Caenorhabditis elegans: one gene and its partners. The protein of the gene in region 1 interacts with the protein of each later gene in a biochemical or structural test. Each region holds a gene or a part of one and is shown in the gene's direction. Other genes may lie near its edges.

Region 1 (5,151 bases):
ATTTACTTTTTTAAGGGATTTCTATCACGGATGTGTGGAATTAAACAGGTATAGTTTGACTCGATCTTTGCAATAAACTAGAAATTTTTTCATTTAGAAAATGAATAAATACAACTGTCGTGGGAAATATCAAGAGACCAATGACCAGAATTTAATGCAAGATTCAGGATATTCACTGAAAATTATAAGCTCTGGTGATGAACAGGTTTTTAAATTGAAAATAATCACATTCCTCATAATATTTTAATTAAATCATAAATTTTTAGATTACAATTGTATATACAAGTCGACTAGGAAAAATGAAAGATCTCCAAGTTCCGGAGATTGAAATTTCAGGAGTTCTTTTGGAAAGATTGGAAGCTTGTAATTATAGGCTTGACGAGCTTTTTATAGACTTGGTAGTTAAAAAATTAATCTGAATTCCGCGTATTTTGATATTTCAGAAAGCAAGCAAATGTATTTGTAGTTCGAATGAGCTTTTGAACATTCCAAAAATCATCGTTAGAAGGCTTTTTCTAAAAATGGAATCTCTGGAAATGTTGGAGTGGTGGATTGAAAGAGTTGATCCGAACTCTCTAAATGAGCTGTGTATTGCTCCTCATGGAGAATATCCACTTGATATTCCGTCCAAGATATTTGATCTTCCACATGTAAGTATGTTTATTTTTGAATATTTTTGGTACAATACATTTTCAGTTCCAAAATTGCAAAACACTGAGTATTATGGAGCACTGTTCTTTCTCAACCGACCAATTTCTAGCATTGTGTATTGCAATTCCAAATTTTTCTTTTTATTCGGACAGAATTGATGAAAATATAGTTGCTCATGCGATAAAGGTATTGAAAATCATCATGGAATGAAGAATTGTTATTTTTCAGAAACGTCTCAGCTTAAATGATCAATTTGTTGTCCTAGAATGGTTTTTCACTAAACACGTGAATGTTGAAAAAGTCACAGGAGATTTGAAGTGTACGAATTATGATAGAAAGTGAGCAGAAAACTGATGTTAGGCAAACTAGAATTAATTTCAGAGAGCGCTTTGATGTCAAAACTGAGTGCTTCGAGCCAGTTGATGTATACAGTGTTCCAGATGAGAATAACAAGAAAACGTCCTTGCTGGTTTTGAAAGATTCAACTGACAATTTCAAACCGTATAACATTGTTGCGTTTTCATAATTTTATGTTTTGAGATGCCGTCTTGGAAATATAGTGTTTTTGAAGCTAAATATCCTATCTCATGTATTAAATAAAATTGTTATAGTATCTCTTTCCATCCATTTTAATCGTCAAAGAAAGGCGTGTAAACCACGAAAACTTACCACTAATCCAAAAAGAGAAGCTGCCTTCTCTCCAAATGACGGTAAGACGTGGAAGACACGTGGTAAAAATGTATTACGTACGCCATAAAATATACGTATTAATCCATTTAAAATTAATTTTTCTTTTATTAACATCTGGCATCGTTTAACACACGTGCAAATGTTCTGTTACAAGCCCAAAAAGGTTCGTTGCTAATTTTTAAAACATTAATGTACAAAATTATTGCAGAAAGTACATTGAATAATAAATTTTTCAATTTTTAAAACCGTTTTTTAAATCAATGTCTCCGTGATATTTATGTTTGACCAGAAAATGTTTGATCGATGACAGCGCGCTGTTTTGTTTAGCACCCTTTTTCATCGGCGCGTAAATCGACACACGGTTCGCTGCGAGACCTGCGCCCGCCAAGCATCAACATTCGAATTTGCCGTCCGCCATTTTCGTCCTAAAATGACTTTTACCGATTCTTTTTCAAGTTTCCAGCTCGCCTCTTGTCATTTTTAGAAATAAAAACGTTTATTCAATTATTAATACTGAATATTTTAATTTTTGTGTTGCATTTCAGATGAATCGACTTCCCAACATTGCAAAACCCCCACAAAAGTCCAACCAAAGAAAGGAGAAGGCTCCACCAGAGGTTCCCGCTCTCATCGCCGACAAGGATCGTGGGACCTATTATGAGAAAGGACGATTTTTGGGCAAGGGAGGATTCGCTCACTGTTATGAGCTTACGAATCGAGCAACACGCGAGGTTGTCGCTGGAAAAGTGGTTCCGAAGTCGATGCTCGTCAAGCAATACCAGAGAGATAAGGTAGACAATGAACGAATCTTAGTTCAGTGCATATTACGATTTTTCAGATGACACAAGAGGTGCAGATTCATCGAGAGCTTGGACACATCAATATCGTGAAGTTATTCAACTTCTTCGAGGACAATCTCAACGTGTATATCACTTTGGAGTTATGTGCAAGACGGTCGCTGATGGAGTTGCACAAAAGAAGAAAGGCGGTCACCGAACCTGAAGCTCGTTATTTCACTCATCAAATTGTGGATGGCGTGCTGTATTTGCATGATCTGAACATCATTCATCGTGATATGAAGCTTGGAAATCTTTTCCTCAATGATGATCTAGTTGTCAAAATTGGAGATTTCGGATTAGCAACAACGGTCAACGGTGATGAGAGAAAGAAAACGTTGTGTGGAACGCCAAACTACATAGCTCCGGAGGTTTTGAACAAAGCTGGACACTCATTTGAAGTTGACATTTGGGCAGTTGGATGCATTCTGTACATTCTTCTTTTCGGACAACCACCATTCGAGTCTAAATCGCTTGAAGAGACATACTCACGCATTCGCCACAACAACTACACCATTCCGTCGATCGCAACACAACCAGCAGCAAGCCTAATCCGCAAGATGCTTGATCCTGAGCCAACACGTCGTCCGACTGCCAAGCAGGTAATTTCAATAGTTTTGAACTGGAGTGAAAATCATTTTAGTATTATCGGAGATTCGAGTTTCATCATTAGAAAATTTGTACTTTTGAATTTTATCGTGAACTTTTATTGAGAGATAGTTCACGTTCAGTTTGATTGCCCTTCGTTCTAATTAGTAAAGAGATCGAAAACAATTTTTAAAAAATCAGTTCGAATATTTAAATAAGTTATGAAATCTCTTCAACTCGGAATGAAAACCCTACAGGTTCAACGCGATGGCTTCTTCAAGTCAGGATTCATGCCGACTAGACTTCCAGTCTCCTGCCTCACTATGGTGCCAAAGTTCGGAGGACACGAAACTTCGATGATGGAGGAAAATGTTGCTCCAAGAGGGGTTGATGCTCGTTCACAACGCCCATTGAACGGAAGAGCTGGATTGTCTGCCCTCCCACAACACATCGTGTCGAACAATGCCGATCGTGAGCGTGCTCAACAACAAGCTGCAGAGGCGACTTTCCGGGAGCCCGAGGATGCATACCTTTCACAACTTTTCCACCAAGTTGCTGTGCTCTTAGAGCAGCGTATTCCAGGGGTAAGAATAAACAAGAGGTTTTTTTTAAATTAAAAGTTTGTTACAGCTGGAAGAAGAAGAAGCTGCTCTTGATGGTTATCAATCACCAGAGTGCCTCCCGGTTTTCTGGATTTCGAAATGGGTTGACTATTCGGACAAGTATGGCATCGGATATCAACTATGTGACAATTCCGTCGGAGTTCTCTTCAATGACAATTCTCGTATCATGCTTGATCAAGCTGGAAACGAGTTGACCTATATTGAGAAGAGCAACAAAGAGCACTACTTCTCGATGCACTCAGGTGAAATGCCTGGATTGCTCAACAAGAAAGTCACATTGCTTAAGTATTTTCGATCCTACATGAATGACCATTTGGTGAAAGCTGGAGAAGGATCTGAACAAAGAGCTGGTGATGACTTGGCTCGTTTACCAACGCTTCGAGTTTGGTTCAGAACCAAATCAGCAATTGTTTTGCACCTTTCCAATGGAACTGTTCAGATAAATTTCTTCAATGTAAGCAAATTCATAATTTAATGGAAACACCCAACAATATAATTTTCAGGATCATGTCAAGATGATGATGTGCCCATTAATGCAAGCAGTTACATTCATCGATCAAAACAAGCGTATGCTCACCTACAAGCTGAACAATCTTCAGCGCAATGGATGTCCAGAGGTTTGAATCGCCATTTCAGTATCAACAAATATAACGTATAATTTACAGAAATTCCTTCACCGACTGAAGTATGCGAAGACAATGATCGAAAGGTTGATGAGCGATGCTAACGTTGTATCCCAGAATCCAGCTCGTCAACCGGATATGCCACGGTCAATGGCAGCTGCTCGTTCAGCTTCGGCAGGATCACGAGGACCAAATCAAGCTGCATCGCACCTTCCCCAGTCGGCAAGTGGATCCAATATTCACCCACGTCGATAGATCCGTATGTGCTCTTTGCCACTTCCATGAATTTGCTTACATCTCCTGATTAATTCCAAGAAGTATTATTCTATACATTTAACCCGTACTCTTCATTTATTGTTGCTGTTTTTCATCGACCCTTTTAGTCCCATGTTTCAGCATCCAACATGTCTTTATTCCCCGTCCTCGATCTCCCGTAGCTCATTTCATTGTAAATACTGATGAGACCCGCTGTAGCCCTTTTTCATTCGTTTGTATTCATGGGCGAGGCGATTTTTATTTTGCGTTTTTATTTCTTTTTGCTAATTGAATCATCTTTTTTTGGTATTAGTCCCACGAAATAAAACGTACCGATGATTATTAAACTGTATTCTTCATTTTTCCAAACTTTCTCGACAATTTCATTTTTGGTAGATAGCAGCACATTGGGAAAAATCAAGTTGAGCTGCTCATCTGCCTCAACTTTCCATTTCAGAATTTTCGAAAAAGCGTGTATAATATTTACTGATTCCGAGACAATTATTTGAACATGATTGTTACAAAGATCACGGTCGCAAAGTAACAAATGTTCTGTTTAATTACTTGCCACTCTGAACAGTTTCCGTCACTTATTTTATATCCAAACAGGTTCGATTCCAAATAGTCTCAAATTATGCCAATGGGATCTGCTTTACTGTAACAGTTGGACATAAACTGTTATATGAAATCAAAAATACAATAGTTTAAATTGTTTTTGCTCTCTGCTTGAATTTTGGATTTCTAGAGATCTAGAGCAGAGCTGAGCAGCCGGCCAAAAAAATCGGCGATCGCCGATGAAATTTTTTTTTCGGCGATCGCCGATCACAAATTGCCAAAAAAAAATCGGCGATCGCCAATTGCCGATTGCCGATCAGTGTGCGTCTA
Region 2 (4,781 bases), 2.4 Mb from region 1:
CGCCTGCTCTTTTTTTTTCGATAAAAGGCAATTAAAAATATCTTTCTTGTAGATTTTTAAACTTTCGGAAAAGCAATCGTAGAAAAGTGCAAAAAGTTGATTGTTCAGTTTGAGCTTTTCCATTCAGGCTCTCCGAGCATTTGACAAGCCGCGCGAGCTCCGCTGGTAACTCACTGTTTTTCTAATATCCAATCGCGCACCGCTGCGCCAATCTCTGTTCATTTCGTCGTTTGCCAGCTCAACTAATAGTCGGGACAGCACCCACTTCATATAACTTATTGACACGACTATAATTTGTCATTTTGCTTCTCCAATCCATCTCATGAAATATGTGTGTCGTGGCGTCAAGTTGGCATATGCAATGAGGTGATGGCTCTCTAACTCTTGTGCAATACAGCTGGTGCGCACTGACTCAACCTTCTCTTTTTTGACATTTTACATTAGGAAAATGCCAATCAGAAAGTGTAATGGTACACAATATGTGACCTATAGTCGGTTTTAGTTTATTTTACGCCGAAAATACGGTACCCGGTCTCGACACGACAAACTGTTGTTAAATGCGAAAAGGGTTGCGCCTTTAAGGAGTACTGTAATTTCAAACTTTCGTTGCTCAAGAATTTTCATTGAATTTTCATAGCGTTCCCCACATATATGTATTTAACAAAACATTTTCGTATCGTATTTTTGGAAAAACGCAAAATTCCGCGTCTGATTTTAAATCACAAACCGACAATAAGGTTTTCCGAATCCAAGAAAAATTGAATTTTCCCCAAAAAGTAGAGCAATTTATTTTCAAGTCTTTCCTGTTTTTTTACAAATCCATCCCAGCACAACTCGGTGTTCTTCCAAAAACTCGTCTCCTCCAACATGCTCATTATAATGGATCATCATCTTCTCTAGAGGATCCTCTGTGTGACTTCTCCACTTGACAAATTGCCCAAGTGGAAATAAAATAGGCACATTTGGAAATCCTTGGTGAGCACTGAGAGAGAAAATAGAGTAGAGAGAATCCAAAAATGTAATTGGATAACCACCTTCCTCCCGTTCTGTCTTCCAGAAATGTCCTCCCATTTTCCCAGCAAAGGTTTCATTGTTTGTTTTGATATCAAAAATTCATTTATTATTTAGCTATGCGATGAGCAATGCGATGACTGCGAATTCAGTTTTAAGGCCGCTTTTTCTTAAATAAAATTTAAAAAAATTTGTAGACTTGTGAAATTGAGAAATACAGTAATCATTTTTCGGAACAGATGGGTACGGTACGCATTCGCGGCGAGACCTATCGCATGGCGGGAAATTTTTTTTGAAAATTAAAATCTGCAAAAACTTCAAATTTTTAGATTGTCTATTGATTTATGTGCGATATTTTGAGTTTTTTCTCATTCCGTCAACTAATTCTCGTCCAGAAGATCAATTAAGCTATTCAGATCTTGAAAACACGAAAAAATCCGATTGAAATCGGAAATCGGGCCGATTTTTTTCAGAATATTGTTTTTCGAGCTGAATTTGTCTGCGCAAAAACAAAACTTAAAACGCTGAATTTTTTGTATTACAGATTTGAAAACTCAAGAATAAAATCACTAAAAAGCTAATTTTTGTATCCTTTTAAAATTGGCGCGGGCAATTCGGACAAATTTTTAAGATTTTAATGTTTTCCCGCTAAATTCAAACTTTTTTCCATCGCTGAGCACACTAAATCATTTGCTCTTTCTCTCTTACTGTTACTTACTTCACAGACACACCAATCATTTTCTTATCACTCTAATATATATTTTCTTGCAGATAGAAAAGGTCTCGCAGAGCAAATAGGTGCGAAACGAGAGAGCCTCTCGGGAGGAGAAACGTTGATTGGTTTGTTAAAACTTCTTTTCATTTCATTTAATTTTTCTTTATATCTGCTCATTTTCAGATCGATCATCATGTCGGCTTCATCCACGTCATCATCTAGCACATCGTGTCCGGAAGGTGGCGAACCATCGGGAAGCTGTAAAAGCAGCGACGAGGGTGAATCGACACTGAAAAAACGAATGCAACAGTACGGAATTGCGAGTGGTTACGCGAATTCCTCAATATCTACACTTGATAGAGTGCGGAAGTTTTTTTTTCTTAAAAATTGGAGAAAAAATCTTGAATTATCTTTCATTCACGCTTCAGAAATCTTCAATTCAAACTGTCAACAGTTCTACCCGATTTTTGTTTCAAAAAAATGCTTGAACTGCTGAGAATTCCATTTCTGCAAATTTTCATACTGCAAAAATGCGCATTTTAAAATGATTTTGTAAATTCAAATTTTTAAGTCAAAATCCGAATTTTGTACACATTCTATTTTTGAGTTGGAAAGTTTAAGATCCTTTTCAAATTTGAAATTTCTGGCTTTTTCGATTATAACACCGAAATCTGGAATTATTTTTTACTTTAAAAAATGTGAAATCCATTGAATATTTGAAACCTTGGTTGTAATTTATAATTATAAGCAATATTTTAATTTTTCAGAGCCAATATCAATCGCTTCCACTGAATGGAACTCGCCGAGTCACTGTTCAATTTGGACGAATGAAAATTGTGGTACCATGGAAGGAATCGGTGAGCTTTTTTTTCAAATGTTCAATCAATTTTTTAATATTTTTCTTGTTCAGGATCAGACAGTTGGTCAACTAGCAGACGCAGCACTTCTTCGGTACAAAAAAGCGAGGGGAATGGTAATTTTTTTTCTCCAAAAATTTGCAGAAAAAAGGTCATTTTGGAGGCAAAAAAGCGTATCCCAAATTTTCCCATGAATACAGTCAGTCGGGAATAATGAAAGGAAAATCAACAAGAAGCACGCAATTTTATCTTCGTCTTATTCTCTTCCAATATTATTCCATTCCCGAAGAAGCAGCAGCCCCCTTTCGTTTTCTCGGAGAGGTTAATTCGGCTGAGAACAAGGCCGCACCGATGAGGATGTGTTGAATACCATTTCTCTGTTCATTTTCACCAAATAATCCCCTTCCTTTTCCGCTTTGGAGAAAAAGAAAGTTTGGAAGAGACGCAGACAGTGTTACAGTGTGTTGTTGGCACACAACACTGTAAATAATAGATATTTCTTCATTCTCTCTCATAAGTGACTGTCAAAAAGTTTTACTATTTTGTGGAGTTGAACTGTGGTGCTCTTGGATTTTTATTTAGTTACTCCTGATCTTCTCACTTTAAACATTAAGACTTAGTGGTTATCATCCCAATTTATATTTACTAAGCAGTAAAACATTTATCTTGATTGAATATCCAATGATCGCTTCATTTTCTTGAAAATCTCTACAAATTGAAGGCAATTTTCTCCTCTTGGACCACCAACCATAACTAGCGAATCCTAGCCAAAGAGGGATTAATTTCCAAAATGGATTCTGGTCGAATTTGACTTTAATCGGCGTACGCTGTGCGGCATGGAAATTCCGGAGGCCGTCGCCTCGTCCCGATTGGATTTTGCAATTTGCAATAAACGGATTGATTTCGACGCGCTTGGTAGATTTTTGTTTATATAACATGCATTGGTCTCTCACCATGTTCACTTCATGGCGGATTTTGTACGAATCTCTTCCCCCTCATCATCATCGTCGTCGATCATCATGCTTCCTGTTCGCGCAGGTTGTAGCATTCGTTTCGCAGTAAATTAAGTTTTCCGCTGTAGGCAGGCAGTTGATCTAAATAAATCTGATAAGAATTTATTCGAAGGCTTAAGATTTGTTATCTCTCTCTCTCTCTCTCTCTCAGTTTTGTTGATTTAGATTTATTTGACGTTGAGGACGATATAATCATTATCAGCAGCAACAACCAACTTGAAATTAATCAAATGGAATGTATAGTTGGACGTTGTGTAATAGGAGTACGAGTAGAAAGTGTGAGTCAATTGCAGAAATTAGTGTTTTGTTAGGAAGTTGGGCGCCAGTTTTAAACCCGCCGCCTACACTTTTGATATTACGATGAGCACGGTTCAAAGGCAGGAGTTTTTTTTTCAGCCGTATCAGACTTTATAAATTTTCCATTTACTAATTTGATCCAGTTTTTATGGTCATGTAACATGTAAAGCTGTGTTTAGTCCCAGCCGAAAAGAAAATTGAACAGAACTCAAAGTTTTCGTGTGACTAAAAAAATATGGTGAGTCACCTTGGAATGTTTTTGTTCGGTTTTGAATTTCAATTCAAAAATTGTGAACAACTTTGGCGTTATTCATAATTGTGGAAGTTTTGAATTTCAGTTGAAAAATGAAAATTGTGATGTGAAAACCTTGAATTATTGTTCCTTTCAAACTTATTGTATTTGACTCCAAAGGCCTCCGAATAGCTCCAGAACATGTGAATTGGCAGCACTTAAAGTTGTTCATCTATCTCTATCTCTCTCTCCTCGCCATCATCGTGAAATAAAGCACCCCCTATTCTACATGCAATGTCATAACACTCATATCTCATGTTATCGCCATCCTCCGCTGCCACTACGAATCATCTGTTCTGAAAGCAGCTTTTTTTCGGGTGGTTTTTGTATTTTTCTTTACTGATAAACAGCTTGTGTTGTTGTTGTTCGCGACGAGAACAAATATCATGGACATTTTACCAACTATTGAGAAGATAAGAAGAAATGGTTAGGAATGATGTGTATATAGACATCTTCCCCTTTCTATCTCTCTTCCCTTCTCTTCCGAGTGTTTCTGTTTCTATTTGTCGTTCGATCTGATGATTGTCGTCATTTTTTCTCAGCCGCTCCTCTTCTTGATGCCCTTGCGCAACCCCACCGTGGCTTACTTGTTGGGG
Region 3 (7,821 bases), 2.1 Mb from region 1:
AAGCTACACTAACTTCACAATTTGTAATTCCATTTTCCGTGACTCTGGTCTCAATCCGAGACAAATGTGTCCGATTTGAAGAGCCATAGAATAATATTCATTGACATATTTTTCGTTTTCCTGTGCCCATATTCCAAAATCAACGAGAGCAGATTTCCCATTCGATGATTTTGTGACAGTCTGATGTTCTTCTGGGACATTAAGATCTTTGTACATGTTAGAAAGTTCTTCGTCAGACAGAAGTTTGTCACAGTCGACGTCCCAGATTCGTGCCAACTCTAAAACAACTTTTTAGTTTCTCAAAATAATTTCTTAAAAACTCACGAGAAATTCTCCCTGGTAGAGGTCCACGACAAAGAGCCGAAAGTGTACAAACGAGCTCTCTGAAGTCAATTTGACCATCTCGATTCTCATCGAAAACAGCGAATAATCTCTCAGCATAACTATCCGGGAAGCATCCACCCAATGCTTGTTTCCACTTCTCTTCATTCAGTTTGCAGACAGCTCGATCACTGATCGTGGCGAACACTTTCTCTAACTCGATAACCTCGTTCACGGATACTGAAAAATGGTTTTTGAAATACGGAAATCAAGATAATTTAAATCTTACAATGCGTCACATAAGACATCACTTCGTAAAATGAGATATAGGAATCATTGAGCGGAATCGTAAGCTTAGGAGGACTCAATCCCCATGACGCGAACTCGTGATATTCTTCGATAAACCCTGAAAATAAATAATTTAATATTATTTCTGAAATGTTTCTTGACTGACTCGATTGTACTTCTTCTACTCTACACAATCCAACAAGAGATGAAAGCAAATTGTCAAAGGAAATGGTTTCAGCGCCATGAGAGAAGAAGCTGAACAGCAGGCGTCGTTTTTCTTCTGGTATCTGCGCGCCTCCGAGAACATGATAGCAGAATTCCTTAAATGGTGAAGTTAAAAAAATAATTAAAAACAGTTACGTCATAATTAATGCATCCATTTTTGAAGCGTTGGAAAGCTTGGCGAATTCGTCGATACTCCTCGTCCGATACTAAAAATTTGAGTTTATGTTTGTTTTGTAACATCCCTGAAACTCACTATAAGTTTTAGCATCTTCCGCACTGATAATCGGTGCGATAGCGTTCGAACGTCCAGTTAACGTGTTACCCATTTCGGATTATGGCATTTGAGCATCTGAACCAGATTTTCTTGCCGAATCTGAAAGAAAAAATGTAAAAATCAATTTATTTGAAAAGAAAAGCATTTGTAAAAGTTTTTCAGTGGAGACCGACTTTAGAACGATTATGGAAAACAGTTTATTCCAATAAACCCCACGAAAAAACACGAATTGCGGGAAAAAATAAAAGACTTGTCGAGAACTGTCAAAAACCCTCGCGCAGTGAGACAGTGTGTGAACTTAAGAGACGCAGGGTGTATAATGCAAACTCGCTCTGTTGCGATTTCAGAATCACTTCGAAAAAATTTTTGCATTCGAAATCATTTCGCTCATTTTTTCATCTCGAGTTTGGTTGTAGAAGTTGTTCTCCCATTTTTTGTGTTATTCTTGCACATTTTCAGTCATAAATATGTACCTGTAACCTGATCAATCAATCAATGTCCGTCTAGTCGCATTAGCGTGCAATTTGAGTGTAGAGTAATTCCGATTTGGAAATCCTAAAGTACATTTTCAAGTAAATGCTATCTTTTTGGTTGTATGAAAACTTGTGACAGCTCTTAGCAGAATGTTCATGACAACCGCCTTTCATTCACTGCAAATTATTACTTGCTCATCGCTTCATCTATAACCGTCTCATCAATTGCAAGTTTCAGCTAAATGTTCGGCCAGAACAAATCATTCGGCTCATCGAGTTTTGGCGGTGGCAGCTCTGGGAGCGGTCTATTTGGACAAAACAACCAGAACAATCAAAACAAAGGATTGTTTGGTCAGCCAGCCAATAACAGTGGAACTACTGGCCTTTTCGGGGCGGCACAGAACAAGCCGGCAGGATCAATCTTCGGAGCGGCCAGCAACACTTCCAGCATATTCGGTATTTTGATCAATAATTGTATGCGTTTGATTTATTTTAATATTTTAGGAAGTCCGCAGCAGCCTCAGAACAACCAGAGTTCATTGTTCGGTGGAGGGCAGAACAATGCCAACAGAAGTATCTTTGGGTCAACTTCTTCAGCAGCTCCCGCAAGCAGTTCCCTATTCGGTAACAACGCTAACAATACTGGAACCAGCAGCATTTTTGGTTCCAATAATAATGCACCATCTGGTGGAGGTCTCTTTGGAGGTAAACAATTGATTTTCGATAAATAAATTAATCTTGTATCAGCTTCAGCATCGACCGTATCTGGAACCACTGTTAAGTTTGAGCCACCGATCAGTTCTGATACTATGATGAGAAATGGGACAACTCAGACAATTTCCACGAAGCACATGTGCATTTCTGCAATGTCGAAGTACGATGGAAAGAGTATTGAAGAGCTCCGAGTGGAGGATTACATTGCAAATAGAAAGGCTCCCGGAACAGGAACGACTTCCACTGGCGGTGGGCTTTTTGGAGCATCCAACACAACAAACCAAGCTGGAAGCAGTGGGCTTTTTGGATCAAGTAATGCTCAACAGAAGACTTCTCTGTTCGGGGGAGCTTCGACGTCATCTCCATTTGGTGGGAACACGAGCACAGCAAACACTGGAAGTTCATTGTTCGGTAACAACAACGCCAACACGTCTGCTGCAAGTGGATCTCTTTTCGGAGCTAAACCAGCGGGCTCGTCACTGTTCGGATCTACAGGTAAGAATAAATCTAGCATCAACACAATTTTTAACCTTAAACTTAGCTACAACAGGAGCTTCAACATTCGGTCAGACAACTGGATCGTCTCTTTTCGGCAATCAACAACCACAGACGAATACTGGTGGATCGTTGTTCGGGAATACACAGAATCAAAATCAATCTGGGTCCCTGTTCGGCAACACGGGGACGACTGGTACCGGACTCTTCGGCCAAGCTCAGCAACAACCACAGCAACAATCGAGTGGATTCAGTTTCGGAGGTGCCCCAGCGGTGAGTTAAGATATCCTAGAATTTCAATATTTTATTAATTTTCAGGCGACAAATGCTTTCGGTCAGCCGGCTGCTGCAAACACCGGTGGAAGTCTCTTCGGAAATACTTCGACAGCCAATACTGGCAGTTCGTTATTTGGTGCGAAGCCTGCAACAAGTACCGGCTTCACATTTGGAGCCACTCAGCCAACAACTACAAATGCCTTCGGTTCCACAAATACCGGAGGTGGATTGTTTGGAAACAATGCAGCAAAGCCAGGTGGTTTGTTCGGAAATACGACGAATACTGGAACAGGCGGCGGTCTCTTTGGTTCCCAGCCACAAGCTTCTTCAGGAGGACTGTTTGGTTCAAACACTCAAGCTACACAGCCGTTGAATACTGGATTCGGAAATCTTGCTCAACCGCAAATTGTAATGCAACAACAAGTGGCCCCGGTACCTGTGATTGGCGTTACGGCTGATGTCCTCCAGATGCAAGCAAACATGAAGTCATTGAAGTCGCAGTTGACAAATGCGCCGTATGGTGATTCACCACTACTCAAATACAATGCGAATCCAGAAATTGATGGGAAGTCTTCGCCGGCTAGTACTCAACGACAGCTGAGATTCCTTGCTGCGAAGAAAGGCGCTCTGTCATCGTCTTCTGATGCACAAGATTCGTCGTTTATCATTCCACCAATCAGCAAAGTGATGAGTGATCTTTCTCCAGCAGTTACCAGGTCAGCCGATGTCACCAAAGATTTGAACTACACTTCCAAAGAAGCGCCACCATCACTTGCTCGCGGACTTCGAAACAGCACATTCAATCCGAATATGTCGCTGACAAATCGAAGTGTTCACGAATCAAGTGCCCTCGACAAAACTATCGACTCAGCTCTGGATGCTTCCATGAATGGAACTTCAAATCGTCTTGGAGTTCGTGGATCCGTGAGAAGATCGAATTTGAAGCAGTTGGACATGTCTCTGCTCGCAGATTCTTCGAGAGTTGGAAGAGAATCCCGTGTAGCTGATCCAGATGCTCTTCCTCGAATCTCTGAATCCGAAAGACGTCAAGACGTTGTCACTTCCACTCCAGCAGTTGACCCCGTTCAGGCTGTAATCCAGAGACATAATGACAGAAATAGAGATCCACCATCGTTGAACTTGGATACGACATGCGATGAGCACACTGGCTTGGAGCCGGTGTCTGCTGCAACTAGTTCAGCAGCATCTGTTGTGTCGACGCCTTCTGAAGAAACTGTTAATGTCAATTCGGCAGCAGGAGTGAAGCTTACAAAGCCCGACTACTTTTCTCTTCCGACAATCAATGAGATGAAGAACATGATCAAGAACGGACGTGTTGTGTTGGAGGATGGATTGACAGTTGGAAGATCGTCGTACGGAAGTGTCTACTGGCCAGGACGAGTCGAGCTGAAAGATGTTGCTCTCGACGAGATTGTTGTATTTCGTCATCGCGAGGTGACGGTTTATCCGAATGAAGAAGAGAAAGCTCCAGAAGGTCAAGAACTGAATAGGCCAGCAGAAGTGACACTCGAAAGAGTATGGTACACTGATAAGAAGACCAAGAAAGAAGTGCGAGATGTCGTGAAACTCTCCGAGATTGGTTGGCGCGAGCATCTCGAGAGACAAACGATTCGGATGGGAGCCGCATTCAAAGATTTTCGTGCAGAAACTGGAAGCTGGGTCTTCCGTGTGGACCATTTCAGCAAGTATGGATTGGCCGACGATGATGAGCCAATGGATGGGTCCCCTCCACAGCAAGCACTACAGGCATCTTCTCCATTACAAGTGGTAAATTTTTAAAACTCATTTTACCCTTTTACACAAATAGTTTTCCAGATCGACATGAATACATCTGCTCGAGACGTGAACAATCAAGTGCAAAGAAAGAAGGTGCACAAGGCAACGGATGCTCACCATCAAGAGGTCCGTTTTGAATGATTGTCACTCACTATAATTCAATCATCACCGTATTTTAATTTTCCTTCTAAACGTTTTGCTGTTTCATTTAAAAATTTTCTGCTTTCATTCTTAGCATTTCACATGACTGCTTGCCAATACCATCTAGGGCAGGCTAAAGACTCAAATTATTCTCGTTTATTCTTTTCTAACTCAATAAATTTGTTTTTAAAATTAGCCTCTTCAAATGGTATTGGTAGACAGACCGTTTAGGGTTTAATATGGAGAGCCATCAGCAGTTATTTGTTTCAGATAATTCTGGAACGAGTTCCGGCACCTGCTGCATTAGGTGATGTTGTGCCGATCATTCGTCGTGTTAACCGAAAAGGTCTTGGTGGTGGAACATTGGATGATAGTCGAGAAGAATCATGCATCGGAAATATGACCACCGAATTCAATGAAAGTGGTCATGATTCAATTATTGAAGAAGGTCAGCAGCCGGAAAAGAAGCCGAAACTTGAACTTCTCGCTGATTTGGAATACGAAAGCAGTCGATTCATTCGCAATCTCCAGGAACTGAAAGTCATGCCGAAGGCCAACGACCCAGCTCATCGGTTCCACGGTGGTGGACACTCTGCTAAAATGATTGGATATGGAAAGAGCAAACTGATTGATATAGGAATTGTGAAGGGAAGAAGTTCACATGTCGGATGGAGTGAAACTGGATGTCTTGTGTGGTCAGCTCAACCCCGACACAATCAAGTACTCTTTGGGACAATTGATAGAACATCGGACGTGAATGAGGTAATATTTGTGACTTTATAAAAGCCCTTCTGTGATTTACAGTCTATTTGTCAATTGGATTTCTAAGTACTTTTTTACACCGTTCTCTTCTATGGCCCATTTTTAATTTAATCAATTTTCAGAACACGCTAATCTCAATGCTTGATGTGAATGTTCATGTATCTGAAACCAGTCGCAAGGGTCCATCTTCACAATCCAACTCGGTTAAATCTTCGCTCACTTCTAACTTCGTCACTTATTCTGACTCATATTCATCCATGTTTGCCAAGTACATCGATGTCGCTCAAGCTGGTGGATATGATGGACATGTTTCTGTTTGGAAGTTGATATCTGCTCTATTCCCATATGAACGTCGAGAAGGATGGTCTTTCGAGCGTGGTGAAGAAATTGGAGAATGGCTTAGAACAGAAGCAGTGAAGTCTGTTCCAGACGATAGAAGTGCGGATACATCTTCAAATGGTGTTTGGAATCAACTCTGTCTTGGAGACATCGATAAAGCTTTTCAAATTGCGATTGATAATAATCAGCCACAGCTTGCTACGATGCTTCAGACTTCTGCTGTGTGCCCAGAAGCTACTGTTCATTGCTTTAAAGCACAACTTGACAACTGGAAGAAATGCGAAACTCTTCATTTGATTCCGAAGGAAACTCTCAAATGCTATGTTCTGATGTCAGGACTATCACACTACGAATGGGATCAAGACGGAAAGAATCATTCGATCAACTGTCTTGATGGACTCAATTGGATTCAAGCACTCGGTTTGCATGTCTGGTATCTTCGTGCATGGACTGGTCTAGAAGAATCTTACGATGCTTATCAGAAAGATGTCAATGCTGGCCGTGCCGCTTCTAATCGTGGAGATCTGCCCGGAGAACTCATCAAATTGGCATGTGAATCACAGCACTCAGTGGAAGTTGTACTTGACTGTGCAGCTGGAGAAAATCCCAACGATTATTTCCTTCAATGGCACGTATGGAGCTTGCTCTATTCGGTTGGATACCGTACAATGTCAAAGACTTCGGAAACAAGACTTCACAGAAACTATTCATCTCAATTGGAAGCATCAAGTCTCTCAAAATATGCATTGTTTGTTTTGCAGCACATTGATGATGATGAAGAGTGAGTTGAATTTTAGAATCTTTCAATTTATAAATATATTTATCCAGAAGATCAACAGCAGTTCGTTCCCTCCTCGACCGTATTGCTCGTTTCACCGACAATGATATGTTTGATTCTATTTCCGAACAGTTCGATATTCCTTCGGAATGGATTGCTGATGCTCAATTCTCAATTGCAAAGTCAGTCGATGATTCTACCCAACTTTTCGAATTGGCTGTGGCTGCAAAGAACTATCTGGAAATTTGTCGCTTATTTGTGGATGATATTGCACCAACTGCAGTTGTAGCTGGAGATCATGACGCTCTCAAAGCAGCATGCGCGATGGTTCGTCCTTTCGAAAATCAGATTCCCGAGTGGGGTGCGACTGGAATGGTCTACACTGATTATTGCCGATTGATCAATTTGATCGAAAATGATGCGGAAGAAGAACTCTTACAGGACGTGCTTGAAAGTCTGGAAACTCGTCTACATGCTCCTACAATCAGCAAGAACAGTCTTCAAAAGTAAGCTATTGGGACATAAGTTTTTTTTAAAACTATTTATATAATTTCAGGCTCTCTCTTCAAACAATTGGACGTGTTTTGTTCGAGTACCGTGCTGATAAGAATACACTTCCAGAGTGGACAAAGCTTCTCGGACATCGGCAAATGTTTAAGATCTTCCGTGATCGTTCGTCTTGGGGAATCGAAAGATTCACAATTGAATTTGACTAGACTAGCCACTTTTTAATTTATTCATTTTTCACCTGATTCTAATTTTATTTTTTTTATTTACATTTTCCTGCCCTCTCCGTCTGTCTTCCTCGTATATCATCATTTCCCGAATCGTCTTTTTATTACTATGAATATGAACTTTTTGTAGGATGTTATTACTGTTGTGTTCTATTCACATGAGAAAACTAGTACAGAAATTTAGAAATCAGCAAAACGATAAAT
Region 4 (4,138 bases), on another chromosome or scaffold:
TGAGTGAGTGAGGGGGGCACAGAAGGATCACATCCAATTAGGATTGAATGAATGCTGTCGTACACACAAGAAAGTGGAATGGAACGATGAGTAGAATAAAAAAAGAAAAATGATGGAAAGGGATGCACTTGGGACACATTGCCGAAAAAAAAACGAATCGTTGCTATAATGTTCTTCCGCTAGTCTTCATAGATCCCGTTGCCAGGTGACCTCGTCTCCAAAAACTTTCTTAAATTTCGAAATCGGAGAATGTGTACTCCACGAGAAGAAGAGTGTGCGAAAATTGCAAATTTTGCAACCTCCGCACGGTTATGAGAATGAGAGCTCAATGAACCTTGCGGAGGTTGCAAAATCTGCAAGTTCCGCACGGTTATGTGGGTGTGGCCAATACCATCGTTTTCTATTCTCAATTTCTGTTATTACGTGGTAGTCTAAAGATGAAAGTTTTCGGGTCTCACCACGCTGAAATTGGGTTACTGTAACTGGACCAATATTGTGCCATTTTTAATATTATATTCAAATTCTTGACAGCAATTTTCGATTAAATCTGAAAATTATGATACTATGCTACCCGTAAATGGAGACGAGTTACAGTAACTCGGCGTGGCGAGACCTAAGATTTTACGAAATTTTCCCAATTTTGACGTCTACGTAATAATTCCCTCTATCCCAAAATTTGTTTTGTAACAGTACGGAAATTGTAATTTCCGTACGGTTTTATGGGAATCACAGTTTGAAAGTTTCAGTTCAAAAATCAAAATCTCATCTTCTAAGAGGCGGGGCGAAAACACCAAATTTGACGCGCAAGTTTGACTACATCATCAGGTCGCCACTTCTGCTCCAGTCAGAACCAACCACATTTTCTGAAAATAAATTACATCCGGTTCGGTCCGAAAACTAATATTAAATACAATTTTCATTCAATTCATCATCTTTTGGTTTTTTTTCTTTCTCATTTTGACCAACCCGCAAATATTATACGACACAGGGGGCTATATAGTCGTGCGCGACGAAACATTTTTCTTTCCCAAAAAAGGAATGAATTCTCATTTTATTTGATGAAGAGGCGGGAAGAAGCTCTCCGAACGTTGTGCTCTGTGTGGTCAACAAAAAAAGGTCGACGACACAGAAAAGGAATTTAATTAAATGGGGGACCCCGTCGTCGTGCATTTCTCAATTTTCTCCGTTTTTTTTTGCAATTAAAACGAGGAGGAGTGAGAAGAAACGAGTGGTGCTCGTTGAAATTTGAAAACGAAAATTAGACGAGGGAGTAGGTCAAAGGGAAATAAAAACAAAAACATCTGAAATGTGTAATTAAATTTCTAGAATTTTTTAGAATTCAATATTTTATGGATAGGTATGTACTATAGGGGTCGGCGGTATTATACAGTAACCCATACACGAATTTCACTTTTTTCAGTGTCTAGTGTTGAAGAAAAAAAATCAAAGTTCAAACAGAAAATCGACTTCATCAAAATTACAAAACATCCGATCAGAGAAAAAAAATTTTCTCTTTATTTCCCGCAGAAAACCTCCCAGCAAACTTTCACCACAAAAACCCTATTTTAAACTCCCTCCATTTTCAAGTCCGCAATTGCGCGTAGCTTTGCGTGTTTTGTCGTTGCGGACTTTGATTTTTCAAACAAAAATGTTTTTTCTTGGAACTTTTCGAACCTGTTTTCCACTTTAAAAAAGCGGTATTTTTCAATTCTTTCTTTATTTTAAATTTGAAAAACTTGTTTATTGCTTAAATTTTTAATTAAAAAGCATTTTATTTCGAAATTCAGGCCATGTTCTCGCATCTTAACCAAAATACATCCGGAAGGCATAACTCAATGGATCTCAACAATTCTAGTATTTCAAAGTGAGTAATTTGTTTCTTATTTTGCAAAAAAAAAACCAGTTTTTAATACTAAAAATCTAATTTTAGCTTCGGGACACCAGTTGAACAGTCTACGCCGGCACTTCTTTTCGGAAAGCGAAAGGCAACTGTTCCATCTTCGTGTAAGTAAAGTTTATCTTAAGTTTTCTCAAAAATATGATAATTATTTAGACACCGCTAGCCCGCTCAACACTGCATCGGCACCATGTTCGGATATTTTCGCTGTTTCTGCACCGGCAGTGCCGCAGCATTTGAAGGATACACCGGGCTCTAAATCAGTTCATTGGTCTCCATCTTTGGTGCAATCTGGTGAAAAGTCGGCGGCACAAACACAGAATACACCTGCCAACTTGTCTTTCGGAGGAAATTCATCATTTTCGGCGCCGACAAAGCCAGCTCCTCAGTCGATTCAGACATCATCTTTCGGTGGTCAAGCGATGCATGGTTAGAATTTACATTTTTTCGCGAATATTTAAAATAAAATTGATTTTCAGCACCACCTCTTCGATCTCTTCGCGACAAAGTTGAACCAGCGAAAAAGATCTCCAGACGAAATACATTCACTGCCAGATCAACACCACTTTCCACTCCAATCACTCAACGAGTCACATCCAGGTTGGCTGAAGCAGAAGAACAACCAATGGAAGAAGAAGCCGACGCAGCTGATACCTGGGTCACTGTTTTTGGATTTCAGCCAAGCCAAGTGTCGATTTTGTTGAATTTATTCTCGCGGCACGGGGAAGTAGTTAGTCATCAGACTCCATCAAAAGGAAACTTCATACATATGCGCTATTCGTGTGTCACACACGCTCAACAAGCTATTTCTCGAAACGGAACTCTCCTCGATCAGGATACATTTATTGGAGTCGTTCAGTGCACAAATAAGGTAAGTAAAAAGGATATATTTATTTTTTATTTTAATTTTAAAATTTACAGGACGTGATCAACGGCTCAGCATCCGGAATTGTTGCTCGATCATCTAACATTGCTGCAGCTGCAAACCGATCTGCTTCCATGTATAACTCATTTGTGGAGAACGATATGGCCGATCAATCAGTTAATCACAATGAGAACAGTGTGCTCAACTCGTCGAATGTTTTTGATGCAAATAACTCGCTCAAGTATGATTAGAAATTTTTAGTAAAAAATTCATAAAAATCTAAATTTTATACTTGAATCTGCTAAAGCGAAGTTTGTAGTTTGTAGTCTAGCGCTACTCCACTTTGAAAATGTGAAAAAGAAAAAGTTAATTTTTCACAATTCAATTAATATTTCCACAAAAAATTGTTTATGTTTTCAGTTCTTCTCGTATTTCCGTCCGTTCTGGTGTCGGAATGAGACCATTGGCTGCCGATCAAAGAACAAACGTAAGCATTTCATTGATTCAATCCTTCTAACCAATTAAAAAAGATTTTACAGGGAACCCCATCGGTTCGCAAGGCACCTGACGGATTGCTCAACAAGTTCTGGAACACGATCGGACTCAACTAATCTTTTTGCTCATTGGAAATATCGCCCATTTTTCTGTTTTATTTCACCATTTTTTTCTTTTGTTGTGTATCCTTCTTTTTCGAATTTCTGAAAACAGTTTCGTTTCTCACGGTTTTTCGTTCTCAAAATAATTTTATTTATTTCGGTGTATTCTCAATTTTCGGACATTTTTCCTTCCCTTCTTCCCGTCCATTCCATTCCCATTCAAAACTGATTCTATGAATTGAAATGAAGAAAACTCATATTTTTATATTGTCGATTATAGAAGACGAGTTGCTAATACTCGAAAAAAATATTTTTTCAAAAAATGAGGCTTTATTGACTGAAAAACATCGATTAAACAAATTCACTTCTATGAGTTTAAAGAAGGGCGCATTATTGCAGAATGGTCTCGGCACGAATGACATTGAAAATTGTGTGTGGGTGTGTGCCTTTAAAAATACTGTAGAGATTCTTTTATCGATTTTTCTCATTTTCTTCAATTTTTAATTTCAGAAAATTATTTACAATCGATGAAGTTTTTTTTAAATTTAATTTTTTTTATAAAATTTAATTTTAAAAAACCCGTTAAAAAAAAATTATTCAAATAATTCTTTCAGTTCCCAATGAATCTTCCCCCAGACGCCCTCCACGAAAATGTGTACGCATTTGCTCTTGCACGAGATCAAGTCGAATCATATTGTAATCAATGCCTTACGAGTATGGCAGAACTCAAAAAGTGCAGCGCCTGCCGACGGCTTGCTTATTGCTCACAAGAATGTCAAA

What was found.
Region 2: of the proteins of plk-1 (region 1) and par-3, one has a biochemical effect on the other in vitro, tested with the Caenorhabditis elegans proteins (one study listed by BioGRID).
Region 3: the proteins of plk-1 (region 1) and npp-10 form a complex in vitro, tested with the Caenorhabditis elegans proteins (one study listed by BioGRID).
Region 4: of the proteins of plk-1 (region 1) and npp-19, one has a biochemical effect on the other in vitro, tested with the Caenorhabditis elegans proteins (one study listed by BioGRID).

Annotation. Positions count from the first base shown.
Region 1 is NC_003281.10:8,099,462-8,104,612, forward strand, and holds plk-1 (Serine/threonine-protein kinase plk-1), read left to right. Parts: upstream 1-1,886; coding exon 1,887-2,132; intron 2,133-2,179; coding exon 2,180-2,779; intron 2,780-3,022; coding exon 3,023-3,349; intron 3,350-3,395; coding exon 3,396-3,842; intron 3,843-3,891; coding exon 3,892-4,005; intron 4,006-4,053; coding exon 4,054-4,266; 3' UTR 4,267-4,608; downstream 4,609-5,151. Other genes in the region: K06H7.1 (uncharacterized protein), read left to right, coding at 16-48, 98-205, 267-398, 444-650, 697-837, 880-989, 1,033-1,177. UniProt on the Caenorhabditis elegans protein: Required for oocyte nuclear envelope breakdown before entry of oocyte into spermatheca. In meiotic cells, required for spindle dynamics and probably for spindle attachment to the chromosomes. Zygotic role in the development of the germline and nerve cord.
Region 2 is NC_003281.10:5,662,453-5,667,233, forward strand, and holds the start of par-3 (PDZ domain-containing protein), read left to right. Parts: upstream 1-1,780; 5' UTR 1,781-1,851; intron 1,852-1,909; 5' UTR 1,910-1,919; coding exon 1,920-2,087; intron 2,088-2,493; coding exon 2,494-2,583; intron 2,584-2,636; coding exon 2,637-2,699; intron 2,700-4,781. UniProt on the Caenorhabditis elegans protein: In cooperation with pkc-3, required for establishing cell polarity and regulating spindle orientation in the early embryo. Localization is crucial for recruiting par-6 and pkc-3 to the peripheral apical cortex and restricting par-2 to basolateral surfaces.
Region 3 is NC_003281.10:6,013,551-6,021,371, reverse strand, and holds the start of npp-10 (Nuclear pore complex protein Nup98), read left to right. Parts: upstream 1-1,809; 5' UTR 1,810-1,823; coding exon 1,824-2,037; intron 2,038-2,085; coding exon 2,086-2,286; intron 2,287-2,328; coding exon of another isoform or gene 2,329-2,334; coding exon 2,335-2,790; intron 2,791-2,836; coding exon 2,837-3,063; intron 3,064-3,108; coding exon 3,109-4,854; intron 4,855-4,902; coding exon 4,903-4,989; coding exon of another isoform or gene 4,990-5,004; exon of another isoform or gene 5,005-5,199; intron 5,200-5,274; coding exon 5,275-5,766; intron 5,767-5,888; coding exon 5,889-6,886; intron 6,887-6,933; coding exon 6,934-7,389; intron 7,390-7,439; coding exon 7,440-7,599; 3' UTR 7,600-7,821. Other genes in the region: Ubiquitin carboxyl-terminal hydrolase cyk-3, read right to left, coding at 14-278, 325-561, 611-727, 776-929, 970-1,040, 1,088-1,160. UniProt on the Caenorhabditis elegans protein: Nup98 and Nup96 play a role in the bidirectional transport across the nucleoporin complex (NPC). Required for the nuclear import of hcp-4 during mitotic prophase, this step is essential for centrosome assembly and resolution.
Region 4 is NC_003280.10:10,796,129-10,800,266, reverse strand, and holds npp-19 (Nucleoporin NUP35), read left to right. Parts: upstream 1-1,787; 5' UTR 1,788-1,790; coding exon 1,791-1,864; intron 1,865-1,930; coding exon 1,931-2,004; intron 2,005-2,053; coding exon 2,054-2,326; intron 2,327-2,376; coding exon 2,377-2,768; intron 2,769-2,818; coding exon 2,819-3,003; intron 3,004-3,182; coding exon 3,183-3,249; intron 3,250-3,292; coding exon 3,293-3,373; 3' UTR 3,374-3,614; downstream 3,615-4,138. Other genes in the region: set-14 (SET domain-containing protein 14), read left to right, coding at 3,979-4,138.